Linked DNA regions of Notamacropus eugenii. The protein of the gene in region 1 interacts with the protein of each later gene in a pairwise test. Links are inferred from orthologs where the notes say so. Each region holds a gene or a part of one and is shown on either strand. Other genes may lie near its edges.

Evidence for each region.
Region 2: the proteins of TSC22D1 (region 1) and APLP1 interact in a two-hybrid assay, tested with the Homo sapiens proteins (2 studies listed by BioGRID and IntAct). The link is inferred for Notamacropus eugenii from reciprocal best matches to the Homo sapiens genes TSC22D1 and APLP1.

Annotation. Positions count from the first base shown.
Region 1 is NC_092877.1:295,069,294-295,076,527, reverse strand, and holds the start of TSC22D1 (TSC22 domain family protein 1), read left to right. Parts: upstream 1-4,216; 5' UTR 4,217-4,343; intron 4,344-4,755; 5' UTR 4,756-5,002; coding exon 5,003-7,234. UniProt on the Homo sapiens protein: Transcriptional repressor. Acts on the C-type natriuretic peptide (CNP) promoter. Acts to promote CASP3-mediated apoptosis.
Region 2 is NC_092876.1:33,030,995-33,038,837, forward strand, and holds the start of APLP1 (amyloid beta precursor like protein 1), read left to right. Parts: upstream 1-4,830; 5' UTR 4,831-5,068; coding exon 5,069-5,194; intron 5,195-5,987; coding exon 5,988-6,131; intron 6,132-6,361; coding exon 6,362-6,488; intron 6,489-6,669; coding exon 6,670-6,782; intron 6,783-7,036; coding exon 7,037-7,170; intron 7,171-7,520; coding exon 7,521-7,699; intron 7,700-7,843. Other genes in the region: KIRREL2 (kin of IRRE-like protein 2), read left to right, coding at 136-241, 354-502, 763-890, 983-1,115, 1,202-1,302, 1,429-1,648, 1,908-2,012, 2,163-2,272 and 2 more. UniProt on the Homo sapiens protein: May play a role in postsynaptic function. The C-terminal gamma-secretase processed fragment, ALID1, activates transcription activation through APBB1 (Fe65) binding. Couples to JIP signal transduction through C-terminal binding.

The DNA.
Region 1 (7,234 bases):
TCATGACGGTAGAGCTGGTTAAGAGCTAGGATTGGAACCTGAGTCTCCTAACTTTAAATCTTAAGCTATTTCTATTCCATCATGCAAACATGGGTTCATTTCCTATTTGATGTATTCCTTATTAGTCAAAATAATATAATTCAGTTCTGTTCATTGCAAAAGCAGTCTTTTTTTTTGTTGCATAGTCTCAACTCAAGTATTTTAAAAATTGCTTTCTTTCCCTGTTTTAGAAATACAAGTCCTTTCTAAAGACAAGAAACTATCATTTATTGTAGTATTTTCCATATGAAACACTCAAAATAGTATTCAAATGATAACTTTTCCTTAGAATATTCAGGTGTAATGCAGGATTGTTGTAGCAACAAGTTCTCAAACACTTTGGCATGAATATTGCTAATGAATATATGTTCTCAATATATATTATTGGAACAAAGTAGTAACTTTTTGTTGGATAAATGGATATCCTTGCAGACATTCTAGGTGCAAAAAAAATATCTATTTGGCTCTTAGCATATGTATATACAATTAGTTAAATATTATACAATGTCTTATTTTCTTTGTCAAAGTGGACCCACACTTTATGACACCCAGGAAATTTTGTTCCTTGAGTAGTCTTGTGATAAGACAAAAACTACAGCTACAATTGATCATAAAGGCAGTATAGAAAGAGCATGAACTGGGGAGACACAAGACCTGGAGAGTCACGTGATATTAGATGAAGTCATATGATTCCCTTCTCGGTTTCCCTTTCTTCATCTATAAAATAATGGTAACAATTACTCTACCTGGTCTAATAAAGATTAATCTTTTATATGATAGAAAGGTGATTCAATAGCTATTGTGTACCAAGCTCTGGAACTAGAAAGACTTCTAACATAAACAGTCCTTTAAAAGGCATAACCAAAAAAAAAAAAAAAGACTCCCAATGTTTAGATTCAATAATGTGTTCTAATTTTTTGATTACATTAAATACTTTGATATACGACTAGAAATTAAAGCTACAGAACAAATTTAGACACTCGTGATAAAAACAGTGAAATTTTAACATTTTCCTAGGGAAACAACTTTTAACATAAAAACATGGACATATTTGCAAAAAAAAGCTTAGGTATGTGTTGAGAGGTTAAGTTCAAGATTTAAGCATTTTGTTTTCTGGTTGTTCCTTTCCTTTTTAAGGGTTATTATTCATAGACACTATAATGACAGCTGGAAAACATAGGGTATTTGTATTTTTGAGGCTGTAGATCTTTTTGCTTAAGTCCTGAGACCTTGAGTTCTGGGACCCCTGGCTTAGAGACCATATTTTAACAAGAATTTAACAAGAACAAGAACCGACTGAATCAGAATCACAGCAATGCAAAATTGAAAGTGTCCTCAGAAGTCATTCATTCCTATCCATAACTAAATGTTATATATAACACCATATAAGTGGTCATGAAACCTTGCATTTAGATTCAGCCTACCTACTTATATGCTACTCTACTTTTTGGAAAGCTCTGTTTGCTTCATAGAACCCAAGACTTCCATGCAGTGAAGTTTGAAAACCAATTTTTAAAGAAATGGCACTTGTAATATCCTCCCACTTTTTACTAGTATATTTGTTTATTAGTGTTTTATTAGTGTCAGAGGAGTAGATGCTCTCTCTTGGATACTTAAATAGCTCTTTTCCACTATGAACTTTGGGTTACAATTTAATTTAGTCTTATATGACCTTTTTTGTCTTAGACCAAATATTAGGACGATGTTAAGAGGGCCCCAGGTGATGTGAAACTGTTCTGTTTTGAATAACATATAAAACAGCTCTAAATCATGTTTTGTGACTGCAAGAATATTTTCTCTCAAGCCCTGGAGAAACTGTATTTGGCCTATCTGCATTCCACAAGGAGTTTCCATCAGTTAAGATAGTTTCCATTTCCCATTTGAAAACTGTTGAAAAAACATGATGGAAATTTGCATTTCAAAAATTGATAGCAAGGCCATTAACTAAGAGTATCATTTGCAAAGGCTTTGAGGGAAAAAAAAAAGGATGAGCTTTTTTTTTTTTAAGTAAAAATACACCCAGAGACATGGATAGTGAATACAAAAATACAATCTTTGTTCATGTGATATTTCCATTTGGTCAGCCCTTCAAGCTATGGGGTGGGGCAGAAAGAATCAGAAAAAAATAGGCTGACAAAGATCAGTCCAAAGTCAGGAATAAGCACCTCAAAAGACAACTGAGCTCATGGGGCGGTGCATTTCAACTTACACTTCGAAAATGCAGCTCCTGCAAAGGAGTTACATTGTTACCTCGTATGAAACTGAACGGAGGTCTAGAAAGCTTAACTGTTCTACCCGGATGTCTCGGTCCTAAGTCTACCTTCCACGTTCTTCGGGCTCCCACCGCCCCTCCACATGCTTTTAGCCTCAGTTACTAAACAAATATCTCCTCTCAGAGGTCACCCAGTCCTGCCCTTTCTGGGCCAGGGAAGGGAGAGGACCGGCTCTAAAACGAGGAAGTCTGGGGAGGCAGGCTTTGGTTTGGGTCCCTGACATTCCCACCTGGGCTGGGGCTTTCTGGGAAGCTGCTTCGTTTCCAAATGCCCAGACCACCGAGGCAAGGGCTTCCCAGACGGGCGAAATCTGGGATTTTTCTGACGAGACCCTCAGTCATTCCTCAAGGCATCCCTCACGTGTTCTCGTCTACACTGGGGTTCTTAACGTGGGCAGGAAGCGCTTCCTGGCCCCGCTGCCCTCCTCCTGTCCGGTGGGATCGCTCGATCCTAGGACACCTCTGAATTCGTCTGGTAACCGCGGGAGGGTTTGCTGGTCTGACGCTGAGGAGAGCGGCCAACCTAACCGCACTGAATGTGGGTAACAGGGTTAAGTTACAGTTAAGTGTGGAGTTACAGTGTAACGCCCGTTGTAGAGACCAGACGAGTAACAGTCCTCATCGCGGTCGTCCTGGCCCCGCACTGCAGGAGACGGGGCTCCACCTGCGGAGGTGTCGATGCGCCTCCCTCCGCACGCTGCCCGCCCGCAGAAGGGACCGCATGGCAGCTGCGCTCTGGCCCACACAAAGGGGACCCCTTGGCGGGAGCTCGGGGGCCAGGTGTCGCCCGTCACGCCAGGGGCGTGAAGGAGGATCCGAGTGCGCGCGCGCGCGTGTGTGCGTAGAGGGGGGGCCATGCAGGCGTGGGCATCCTCCACACGGGGAAGGTGGCAGAGGAGGGAGAAAAGCCTGACTCATGTGGTGGCTTGGGGACTCCTGGGAAGCAGAACTCGTGATGCGCCCGCTGCGCCGCGCTGCAGAGAAGAACCCCATTCTGCCACGGGCCCGCTCCAGGCACATGGCCCGGCGGCCCGCCCCGCCCCGCCCCTCCCCTCCCCCCTGCACTGCAGAGGGCCCCCCTCCCCCCTCGCCGGGGCGCGTGCACGCGCACACACGCCCCAAGCGCGAAGGGAGCGAGGACACACCTCGGCCGCTCGCGCCCGCGCCCCCCTCTCACTTCATGCCCCACCCCACCCCATACTGGCAGCATCACGCTGTCCGCCCCGGATTCGCTCCCCGATCTCCAAGTCCCCGCCCCCACCGCGCCGGCGCCTGGGCATCCGACTCTGGCCTTCGGTAGTTTCCGTCAAGAGCACCCGAGCTCGGCTGCCGCCTCGGCGGGTCTTCGAGTCCCCGAACACCGTCTCTCCTCTACCCTCCCCGCCCCCTCCCGCCTCGTCCGGCCCCGCCCCTTCTCCTCGCCAGGCGAGGCTTTATGTCTGCGGCGCCAGAGCGCCTGCGCAGACGCCATCTTCCTCGGCCCCCTCCCCCGGCCGCCGCTGCCTCCTCCTCCTCCTCCTCTTCTTACCGCCGGACGCTCCTCCTCCTCCTGCGCCCGGGCTCGGGAGCCCGTCCCTCCTCTTCCAATGCCGTGAGAGACAGTGGGGAAGACGGCGTAGCCGGGGCAGCCTAAGGAGAGCTCTCGTAACCAGCCCCCCCCCAGCCGCCCCCTCCCCAACCCCCGGGCGCACCCGACACCCTGCCCCCATCCCGCTCCCTGCCCCTCCCCTGGCCGCCCCCACCTCCTGCTCCATTCAGCGGCGCCCGTCCGTCCGTGGGTAGTCCCGGCCCGGCGAAGCCGCCGCCGCGGAGAGAAGCCTCACGCCCCCTGGCTGCTGCCTGCCTGCCCGCCCGCCTCCTCCCCGAGGGCCGAGGACCGGAGCCGCCGGGCTGCTGGCCCGGAGGGAGGAAGATGTTGGGGCTCCGCGGCTGCCAGTGATGGAGCGGTCCCTGCGCTCCCCCCGCCCCCGCCCGCCCGGCCGCCGCTGCTCCTGCCGCCGCCGCCGCCGCCCCCCGGCTGGGTGCGAGGATCGTACGTATCTCTCCCTCCCCCCTTACCGGCCTCCCCCCAGCTGCAGCCGCCGCCGCCCCCTCGGCCCTCCCCGGCCGGCCCAGCGGCCCCGGCTCCGCTGGGTTCCCGGCTGAGCCGCCGCGGCGGCGGCGCCCCCGGAGCAGCTTCCAGCCTAGCGGTGGGGGAGGGGGCGGGGGGAGGGGGAGGCACCGGGCTTTTAGCTGCTCCGGCCTGGCCTCCGGGCGTGCCTTTCCCGGGGCAGCCCTTTGGGGTTGGGGCGGGTGGAGGGGTGGCCGCCGCCGCGGCACCGCGGCGGGGGTGGCGGAGGGGGCGGGGGCGGCGGCGGGGGTAGGGGCGGCGGGGGCAGCGGTGGTTTCCAAGTTGGCCGGATAACGTGGGCATTTCTCTCTCTCCCCCCTCTCCTCTTCTTCAGTCTGCCTGCCTCCTTCCTCTACCTCCCCCCACCCCCTCCTCCCCTAGTGAAGCGGACTGTATAAAAGGGGGTGGAGAGGACCAGAAGGAAAAGTGAATGGCCGAGGACCGGTAGTGCCCCCCATTCTTGCCTTGTCCCCCCCGCCGTCCTCCGCCTGCTGAGCGCAGAAGGCCCCGGCGGCGCAGCGGGGACGGTGCCTCCGGCCCCTGCGCTGTGAACACAAAGCTCCCCGTGCGGTGCAGACACAATGCACCAGCCGCCCGAGGCCACGGCCGCCGCCGCCGCCGCCGCAGACCTCGGGGCTCGGAAGATGGCGCACCCGGCCGCCGCGGTCCCTCGGAGGGGCAGCAGCAGCGGCGGCGGCCCCGCGGGCCCCTCGGCCGAGGACTACGCGCCTCCCGCGCCGCTGCCCGGGGCGGCGGCCGCTGGGCCGGGGCCGGCGCCGCCGCCGCCCCCGCAGAGCCTGCACCTCCTCCCGCAGGCCCCGCAGCTCCCCGCCGCGCCCGGCGGGGCGCAGATGAAGAAGAAGAGCGGCTTCCAGATCACGAGCGTGACGCCGGCCCAGATCTCGGCCAGCATCAGCTCCAACAACAGCATCGCCGAGGACACGGAGAGCTACGACGACCTGGACGAGTCCCACACGGAGGACCTGTCCTCCTCCGAGATCCTGGACGTGTCCCTTTCCAGGGCCACTGACTTGGGGGAGCCGGAGCGGAGCTCCTCCGAGGAGACTTTGAATAACTTCCAGGAGGCCGAGACCCCTGGGGCGGTCTCTCCCAACCAGCCCCACCTTCCTCAGCACCATTTACCTCACCATCCACCCCAGAATGTCGTGATCAATGGCAGTGTTCATCCACACCATCTCCATCATCACCACCACCACCACGGGCACCACCTTCACCATGGGCACCACCATCCATCCCATGCTGGTGTCAGCACGGCTGTTCCTGGAGGGCCACCCCCAAGTCCGGTGTCTAGAAAACTCTCCACAGCTGGAAGTTCAGACAGTGTTTTACCAGCTGCACCACCTTCTGCTGTATCATCCACTGGCACACCTGCATCTCTAATGACTAATGTCCGCAATACGAATGCTCCTGGCAGTCTAGGTATAAATTCTGTTACGGGCACTAACACAATAAATAATGTTAACGTTACTGCAATGGGTAGTGTTAATCCTAACATGACGAACAGCATGCCTGGTAATGTTAACGTACCTTCCAGTAACGTCCCAAGTACTGCTAGTGTAAATGCTGTGCCCGGAGCTAGCACCAGTGTTAATGTGAATATCCTAAGTGGCATGGGCAATGGTACTAATTCTTCTGTTAACAATGTTCCTACCCCAGCTGCAGGAATGGCTGCGGGATCTGTTTCAGCTCAGCAGCAACAACCAGCGGCTGGCACATCAAGGTTTAGAGTTGTGAAATTAGATTCTAGTTCTGAACCCTTTAAAAAGGGGAGATGGACTTGCACAGAATTCTATGAAAAAGAAAATCCCATAGCAGTTACAGAAGGAGTAGCGGTAAACAAAGTGGTGGAGACTGTAAAACAAAACCCAGTTGAAGCGACCTCTGAAAGGGAGAGCACTAGTGGGAGTTCAGTTAGCAGTAATGTGAGCACATTGAGTCACTACACAGAGAGTGTGGGGAGTGGAGAGATGGGGGCCCCCGTTGTGGGCCAGCAGCAGCCAGCCCTCCCAGGTGTGGCCCCACAGCCCGTGGATTTCAGTAGTGGTCCTGGTGCACAGGGTGTATCAGCAACTAGTCTACCACAGAGTATTTCTCAGTCTCAGATTGCCCCGGTGCAGTTGCATTCTCAAGAGCTGACCTATGCTTCGCAAAAGCAGGGAAGTCAGCCTCCTCTGCAGGCCAGTAGAAGTGCTGCGGCTGGCATTCAGTCGCCCCCAGTGAATCTGGTTGGTGTAGCACCATCGTTAGGCCAACAGCCTCCCGTTTCCAGCTTGGCTCCGTCCCAGTCGTCCTATTCTCAGACCCCTTTGCCAGTTGTAGCACCGCCGCAGTTACAATACGGACAGCAGCAACAAACTGTGGCCACACAGGTGGCTCCGGGCCACATCCAGCCAGTAAATCAAAATCCCATCGCTGCAACTATGCCAGAGTATGTTCAGCATCAGCAAGTTCTCCAGACACCAGTGCCCCCTGTCCCACCAAATTCTGCAGGAGTGGCAGCAGCCTCAGCGATGCCTGTTGCTCATTCACAGAGCATTCAGCCTTCAGTGCAATCCACCACAGCCCAGGCACAGCCTGCAGGGGCTGTTGGACATGGCCAGCCAGCAATGCCTCCTGTAGCTGCTAGTGGTCAAGTTGTGAATGTTGGTCAGCAAGTGAACATCCCAGCTGTGCTGCAGCAGCCGGCCACCGTCACCCAGGTGACACCTCCGCCTTCTCAGCCTGGGATCATTCAGGGAATTCAAGCCAGTGCTTCAAACCTTCCTCCACAGCTGGTCGTTGCACCTCAAAGC
Region 2 (7,843 bases), on another chromosome or scaffold:
GTAAGTGAAAATCAGACTTCTGGGTTCTGTAGGGGACTTGAGGTGCTCTTGGACAGAGAAGAAAGAGTTGGTTGGGGGAAAGGATGCTGGGCAGGTCCTTCTTTACTCTGACTTCGATCCCCTCCCATCTCTTAGATCCTCCTGTGGTGACTCTGTCTTCAGAGCCACAGACAGTGCCAGAGGGTGGGAAGGTCACGTTTCTGTGCAGAGCAACCGCCCATCCCCCAGTCACTGGCTACAGGTGAGCCCCTCTAAATACTCTTGGCCTGCAAATGATGAGACTCTGCCAGGACCCCATAGCACCGGCCCCATACTTGAGACCCTCTGCAATATTGATCCTTCCCATCTCCCAGGTGGGCAAAAGGGGGATCTGTGCTTCCTGGAGCTCGGGGGCCCCTTCTGGAGGCGAAAGCTGATGCTTCCTTCCTGACTGAACCTGTGTCCTGTGAGGTGACCAATGCCGTGGGCAGTACCAATCGGAGCACGGCATTGGATGTGCAATGTGAGTACAGTGGGCAAGACTTCAGCTTCTGAAGAGGCAGCGGCTGGGGAGGGTTTCTGCAGTGGGTGAAGGGTCTTATTTTCCAGGGTTCCTGCAGAAGTCTCAGTGCCTCAGTCCCTCAGGGCTGAGAGGAACTTCTTATGCCTTGGTATCTAAGGGACTAGGAGGAGGGCACTCACAATGCCTGGGAGGGCTTGATTAGGAGGTCTGAGTTCTGAGTCAGGAGACAATCTCATAGACAACCTCCCTTTCATCTTCAGTCGGTCCTCTCCTCCTCTCCCCACCTGAACCAGTGGCTGTAGATGCGGGAGAAGACGCCTCTTTCACCTGCACCTGGAAGGGAAACCCGCCCCCACGAGTGACATGGACGCGCAGTGGGGGGACCAAGGTGAGGGATAGAGCTCTGGGGGCAGAGGCTCTGGGTTTAACTCATCTTCTCCTTCCCATCTCCCCTAATGACTTTTCCCCATGGGTCCCCAGATCCTGGGCTCGGGGCCTACATTGCGTCTGGTGTCCGTGGGGCCGGGGGACGCTGGAAATTACGAGTGTCGAGCAGAGCCAGGACCCTCAGGAATGGGGGGCGGCCTGGGGGAGGCAACCCTGACTGTGCATGGTGAGCAGAGGTTTGGGGGACAGGACGAAAGGGAAGGGATGGGCAAGGGACGAGGTTGTCTCTGATTGGATCTTGAATCATCCCAGGCCCCCCAGCAGTGACTGCCCTGCCTTCGCCCCCCGCTGCTGTGGGAGCCCCTGCCCGGCTAGAGTGTGTAGTTCTCGCATCTCCAGCACCCGAAGCAGTGGTAAGGTTCACTGATCTATCCCTTTCCCCTTCCCGAGGCTTCTGCCCCTGCCTCCGTTCCCTCCCCGGCCTCCACTGCCTCTCCACCGCCGAACCTTTCTCTGTTCTCTTCTCCCCCCGCCCCCAGGTCTGGTCCTGGGGCGAGGGCGCACTCGCCTCGGGATCCCGAGGCCGCTTCCTAGTAGAGACATTCCCCGCCCCAGGGGCCCCGGGGAGTGGGCGCCGGGGATTGGTGTCGGTGCTGCACATCTCCGGGACTCGGGAACTGGACTTCGCCCGAGACTTCAACTGCAGCGCTCGCAACCGTCTGGGCGAGGCGGCAGCCCGGGCTGGCCTGACCCGCACTGGTGAGCCCAAAGTCCCCAGAGAAGCACAGGAGGGGATCTGACCTCCCAAACCCGTGTAGATCTCCAAACCTAAGGCACCCAGTCTGAGGCCCCCAATGGGGCTCCGGAGCACCCACATTCCCCGGGTACCCCTCCCTTTGCGGACCCAACCTCGACGAGACTCCTTTCGGCCCCTAAAACTCCCCAACTTGACCTAGGATCCGGGCCCCGGGCTCGCCAAACTTTTCCTTAACCCTGTGACGCCTGTGTCCCCTCCCAGACCCACTGCCCCTGGTGCGGATCGTGGTAACTGCAGCTGCGACTGCCTTACTATTACTACTGCTCATCGCAGGGGGCACCCACTGCTGCTGGCGCCGAGGCCGAGGTCAGTGTGGTCACAGCTGCCCTTCGAGGTCCACCCCCCCCCCCCCAGCCTGGTCCCTATCTCAGTGTGCCCCTCCCCAGTCCCTCTTCGTTCAGTTTTCTCGGCTTCTGGGGTGCCGCCCTCCAGCTCCGCCTTCTCCTCCACCCTCAGGCTCCAGAGCAAGGATCTCCAAGCGAGACATACTGGTGCAAATCACTGATAGCGATGGTTCCAGCCCTCGAGTCCCCGAGGAAGAGGAGGAGGGGATCCGAGAAGACCAGGTATGGACCTCTGGAGGCCACCTCGCGCGGAGCGCCCCCAACTGCCAGAAGACCCTGCGAGGAGCCGACTGCTGCCGAAACCCTAGTGGGAAGTGGGTCCTGGGCGGTGGCTCCCAGGGGTGGAGGGTGGCTTCCCCCTGGACTCTCAGTGACCGGCACGACCTCCCCCGCTCAGGTCCTCAGCAGCGAGTCCACCGGTACCTCGCACTCAAAGCAGAGCGACTTCGTTGGGGCTGAGGAGGCGGGGCCTGAGGCCAAGGTGGGCGGAGTAGGGCAAGGGCTACGCCTGGAGCCCCCTCCCATCTCTGTCTTTGTATCTATTTATGACTTCTCTCCTCATCTGTTTCTGGGTGCCCAGTCACCTCCCTGCTTTCTCTTTCCATCTCTTCCTCAGTCTTTGCCTGGGCTCACCGTACCTCGTATTCAATTGTCCTGGCATGCCCATTGGTCCGTTCGAACTCTTGTCTTTCCCTTCACTGGCACATCATTGCTGATGTCTGTATGTTTTCTTGTTCCCCGCTCCCCCCAATATCTCTCCCCCCACCATAAGCCTTTTCACCATTGTTCAGGGACCTCCTAGTGGTGTCTCCTCTCCATCTGTGTCTCCTTGTTTATCAGCCTCCACTCTACTTCTCTGTGGTGTCTCCTTGTCTCCTTCAAACCTGTTTCTGGTGCTTCTTGTATTTCTCTTTGACCTTGCCCATAAGTGCCCTCCCATCTTTCTGCCCCTGTTACACTCTGTATCTATTTCTTCTTATGTCTCTGTTGGCCCCTTTTCTTGCTCTCTGTTGATTCCCCTCCCCCTCCCCCCATCCTTTATCTTTCTGTTTTTCCTTATCTCCATCAGTCTCATTTTTATCTTTTTTTAATCTCCTCCCAGGATCCCACTAACGGCTACTATAAAGTTCGAGGTGTGAGTGTGAACCAGGACCCTGGAGCTGCCCTCTTCTTCTCTCCAGCATCTCCTGTCTTCCCTGGCAGCCCTTCTGGGTTCTGTGACCTTACCCCTCATCTGCCTGTATTCCCCCCAGACCGAGGTGGTCTCTACAGCCCCCGGGATGGTTACCTCACCACTCCATATACCCGTGCTTTCACCAGCTATGTCAAATCCACACCCTATAGGACCCCTGACCCAGCTCCTGGGCCCCCTTCCTTTTCCTACACTGTCCCTGTTCCTGGCCATCAGCGCCTTCAGACCCATGTGTGACCTGTCTCTCAGACTGATAGCTGGTCATCCACTCCAGCCCATGGGAGGCCTCTGTAAAGTCTCCAGTCCTTTCTTGTGTGATGAAGAACTGATCCAGTCATTGGGCAACCAAGAAGATTTCCCCCTCAAGATAGTAACCCAAGTCTGGGAATGGGGGGAGGGGGGAGGAGGAGCAAGACTTTGATGGACAGCTGACCCAGCAAATGGAAAAGGCCAAAGTGTAAACATGCCTACCAGTTCACTCTAGTCAAGAGAACTCCAAGTGGCAGATGGACTAGTATGGGCTCCCTGGAAAGGGGAAGTACATAGGGTAGGGGCAAGGCTGGAATCAAGGGCACACAGATGTATTGATGACTCCAACCAATAGATGGGGGAAAAGTCATTCCTGGCCCAGGAAGCAGGTTCTTGATTACTTGGCAAAATGTTCAATCTCATGGAAACTGTGTCAAGATGGCTTCTGACACCAGGAACCCAAGATGGTGGACTCAAGGTGGCCACCCCATCCTTCTGCAGGGAAGGAGGGAATCTGGGGCACATTTCTTAGGATGACCCCATTGCTAAGGCAAATATGAATTTGGAAACATGGGATGTATGTTGGGATTTGAATATGTTTAATTAAAAAAATGGAAAAATGTATGTGTAAGAAATCTTTTACCATCCAGCAACCAGTCCAGGGTAAGTCATGAAAGTCAAAGACTAGTTCTGATGGCTCCTGGCTACAGGTGTCAGGGTCCCAGTCCACCTCTTCCCCTCTCAGACCCAGGCATCCAGGTTCCCAACCCATTCGGTGCCCCACCCTCCATTTCAGTCACAGGTTCTGGGGTCTGCAGAGCAAGAGTTGGGGGGGGGGGGGGCTGGGGGTTCTAGCCATTTGGGTCCCCTACCTCTCCCAAAGCCAGACTTTGTTCACAGGTTTATATAACTCTTCAGCCCCAGTTCTTGTGAACCTTCCAGGTCCAAGGGAAAAATAGTTGAAATAGTCCCAATGTGTAAACCTTCCCTTATTTTTCCACCGTAAGCTACCGAGGCAGCCCAAGGTGGGGTGGGGAGTGGAGATGCCGTAATGTTGAGGTTTCGACACTCCCTCGTATCTAGGACGTGAGGCTGAACGTGTAGGCGAGATGCCCAGGGCTTGGAGGGGGTGACCACCCCTGAAGGTCAAGGGGCTGGGAACATTACAGTTTAGATCGCCCAGGCATGGCGAGGTCCCCAAAAGATCTAGGAGGAGATTTAGAGCCCAGAGCGAGCAGCGCAGCAGGGCAAACACTCTCACCCGCGCTATTGTCCCAGCCGGGGAGGCGGGGCCGGGGCGGGGTTGGCGGCGCCGGCGCAGCCCGGGGCTGGAGGGGGTGGGCAGCAGCAGGAAGCGGCGGCGGCGGTGCTGGGAGCTCCTGTCACCGGCGGGCCCAGGGCGGGGAAACCCGGGGGAGGGGGCTGGCGGAGTGAAAGGAGGGCGACCAACCAAGGACTGGGGGAAGGGTAGGGCGAGTTCGGCTGAGCCCAAGAAGGAGATCGCGGGCCCAGAGGTCGCTGCAGGGCCGGGCAGGGGAGACAGAGAAGGGGGCTCGGGCCCCAGCCCCGGCCCGGACATGGGGTCAGCGAACCCCGCGGCCCGTGGGCTCGGGAGCCGCCTCGGTTCTCTGCTGCTGCTGCTGCTGCTGCTGCTGCTTCCAGCGCCCGGGAGCTCATCCAGGGGGACGCCTAGCCCTGGGGAGGTGAGACTCACGCCCCCGGCCGCAGGGTGAGGTGGGGGACCCAGATGCCCAGAACCCCTAGCCCTCCACATCCCACCCCACCCCGATTCTGGCTGTGCAGTTCCCAGAACCTACGGCTAAAATGGAGGGGGGGGGAGGGCCTGGACTCCTTGGTCTGGGAGGGGATGGGCGGGTTGGGACCCTGACACCTGCGGCCCTCAGACAGCGGGACCCTGGTCTTTAAGAGGAGAGGATTGGGGAGGATTAAAAACGCATGAATGCCTGATGGGGGCAATGGTTTTAGGATCAGGAGGTTTAGGCCCTTGAGTGGGGTAGGGGCTGGAGGCCTAGACTCCTGGGTCCTTAAATCGTGGCCCAGGGGACCCAAACACCGGGGTCACAGCGTGAGGGAGAGAACAAGACCGGAGAAAGACCCATGTCTACGCCGTCCTCACCTCCACGGGCCAGAGAGGATGGGGGTGCGGTAGTGGGAAGGAGGGTCTGTCTCCGCGGTAACCAGCTGGTGATGCCAGGCGATTCACCTGGGACCCAGTCTCCATGGCGACCCCCCCATCCCCTCCGGTGCAGTTGCCTTGGCAACACCATCTGCACCGCAGCGGGGGCTGGGGCCTGGATCCCTGAGAGGGGACTAGAGGTGGGGTCCGCATGCCTGAGTCCTCGAGGGGGGCGTGGTCTGGGGTCCGGATGCCTGGTATCTCTGATGTCGGGGTCGGGACTCCTGGGTCCCCGACTGGGGCGGGGCCGTGGGCTGGAGTCCCCGTCCCAGACGCTCGGTTCTTCGCTCTCTTTTCAGATCGCGGGGGTCCCTCAGGTGGCTGGGCACTGCGGCCGACTGACCCTACACAGAGACCTGCGCACAGGCCGCTGGGAACCTGACCCTCAGGGCTCACGCCGCTGCCTGCGAGACCCGCAGCACGTGTTGGCCTATTGCAGACAGGTGGGCGGGGCCTGAGGGGGCCGGGCCGACCGGGGGTCTGAAGTAAAGGGGTTGAGAATGGCCCGGGCATCGGTGGGAGGGGACTTTTGGGGGTGGATACTCTGCGGGGACGTGGGAGCTGAGCCGAGCTCTGGGAATTCAGGAAAAGCACCTGGAAGGGGAATTGAGTGAGAGTGAGGAGAACCGTGAGACTCCTCCATGGAGCCCCCATCCCATTCTCCCACCCCCAGGTGTACCCCGACCTCCAGATCGGCCGCGTGGAGGAGGCCTCGAGACCCATTCCTATGGAGCATTGGTGTGGGAGTGCCCGCGGAACCAGATGTCCCCACCACGTGGTGATTCCTTATCACTGCCTGCGTGAGTGAAAGGGATACTGGCTCCAGGTGTGACCCAGAATGCGGGGGCCCAGATATCTAGGGAGTAGGTTTGGGGCAAAACACCTGGATCCCTGAGGTGGGGGTCTGGACAGGATGGGGATTATTTGGAGGGGAGAGGGGAAATCGGGAAGGCTCATTTTTCTTCTTCCATACCCCTACAGCAGGTGAGTTTGTGAGTGAGGCCCTGTTGGTTCCTGAGGGATGCAAGTTCCTGCATCAGGAGAGGATGGATGAGTGTGAAGGCTCAGCCTACAGGCACCACCAGGCCCAAGAGGTGAGGTCTAGATTCAGACATGTTGACTCTAAAGAATTTTCAGAGACTCCAGTATTCATGCTTCTACCCCCCTCCCATCTCCATCAGGATCCCATGTCTACTTTTCCATCTCTCCAACCCCTTCAGACTTGAGTGTCCAACCTCCCATCCCCCTCATTCCAGTTCACTCAGTAATCTATCTGTTCTCCCTTTCCACCCACCCCACATTCCCTGTCTTCCCCACTACCCAAGGGCCTCTATCACTTCCTTCTCAGGCTTGCCGCTCTGAGGGCCTCATTCTTCATGGCTCAGGGATGCTCCTCCCATGTGGAACTGATAGATTTCGAGGTGTGGAATATGTCTGCTGCCCTACTACAGGCACCTCCATACCTCCCCAGATGCCCCATAGGTGAGGTCCTGGGTCTCCATGAAGGTGAGGTCTAGTCTGCCATGTGTGTTAAAGTTGGAATCATCTCATAACCCTGGTCCCCTAGATCTTCTGTAATAACCCTAATATCCTAGAGATTCTCACTAACACTAGAGACTCCTCCCCTAGTTATGCCCTGGAATACCCAATAACCCTGTAGACACCCCAATAAAATTTCAAGATAACTTCAAACTCCCAAATGACACTGTTCCCCCCAGAGGGTTGGGAGACTGGGAGCCTGAATGTACCCCTGAAAGTTGGGAATGAGGTTCTGGATACTTAGATGCTTGTAGGTCACGCAGCCAGATGTGAGGGTTTTGTCCTCTTTGCAGTGATGCTCCCACCCAGCCCCAGTCCCCAGGGGGAGAGGAGGAAGAGGAAGACGAGTCATTTCCCCAAACAGTGGATGACTATTTTGTGGAGCCCCCAGGGGAGGATGAGGAAAAAGAGGAGGGTGAGGCCAGAAGACTCCAGCACCCCAGCACCCAACCACCTTCCAGGACCAACAAAGGTGAGACTCACCCCCAGAACCTGGGAGTCCAGATGCCCAGAGTCTGAGCCAGGCTCCTTTACCAAGGCTGGCACAAAGTAGCCCTCGAGAGGAAGGAGAGGTCTCCTTCTCCCAGCTGCACCACCCACAAAAGCTCTATGTTCT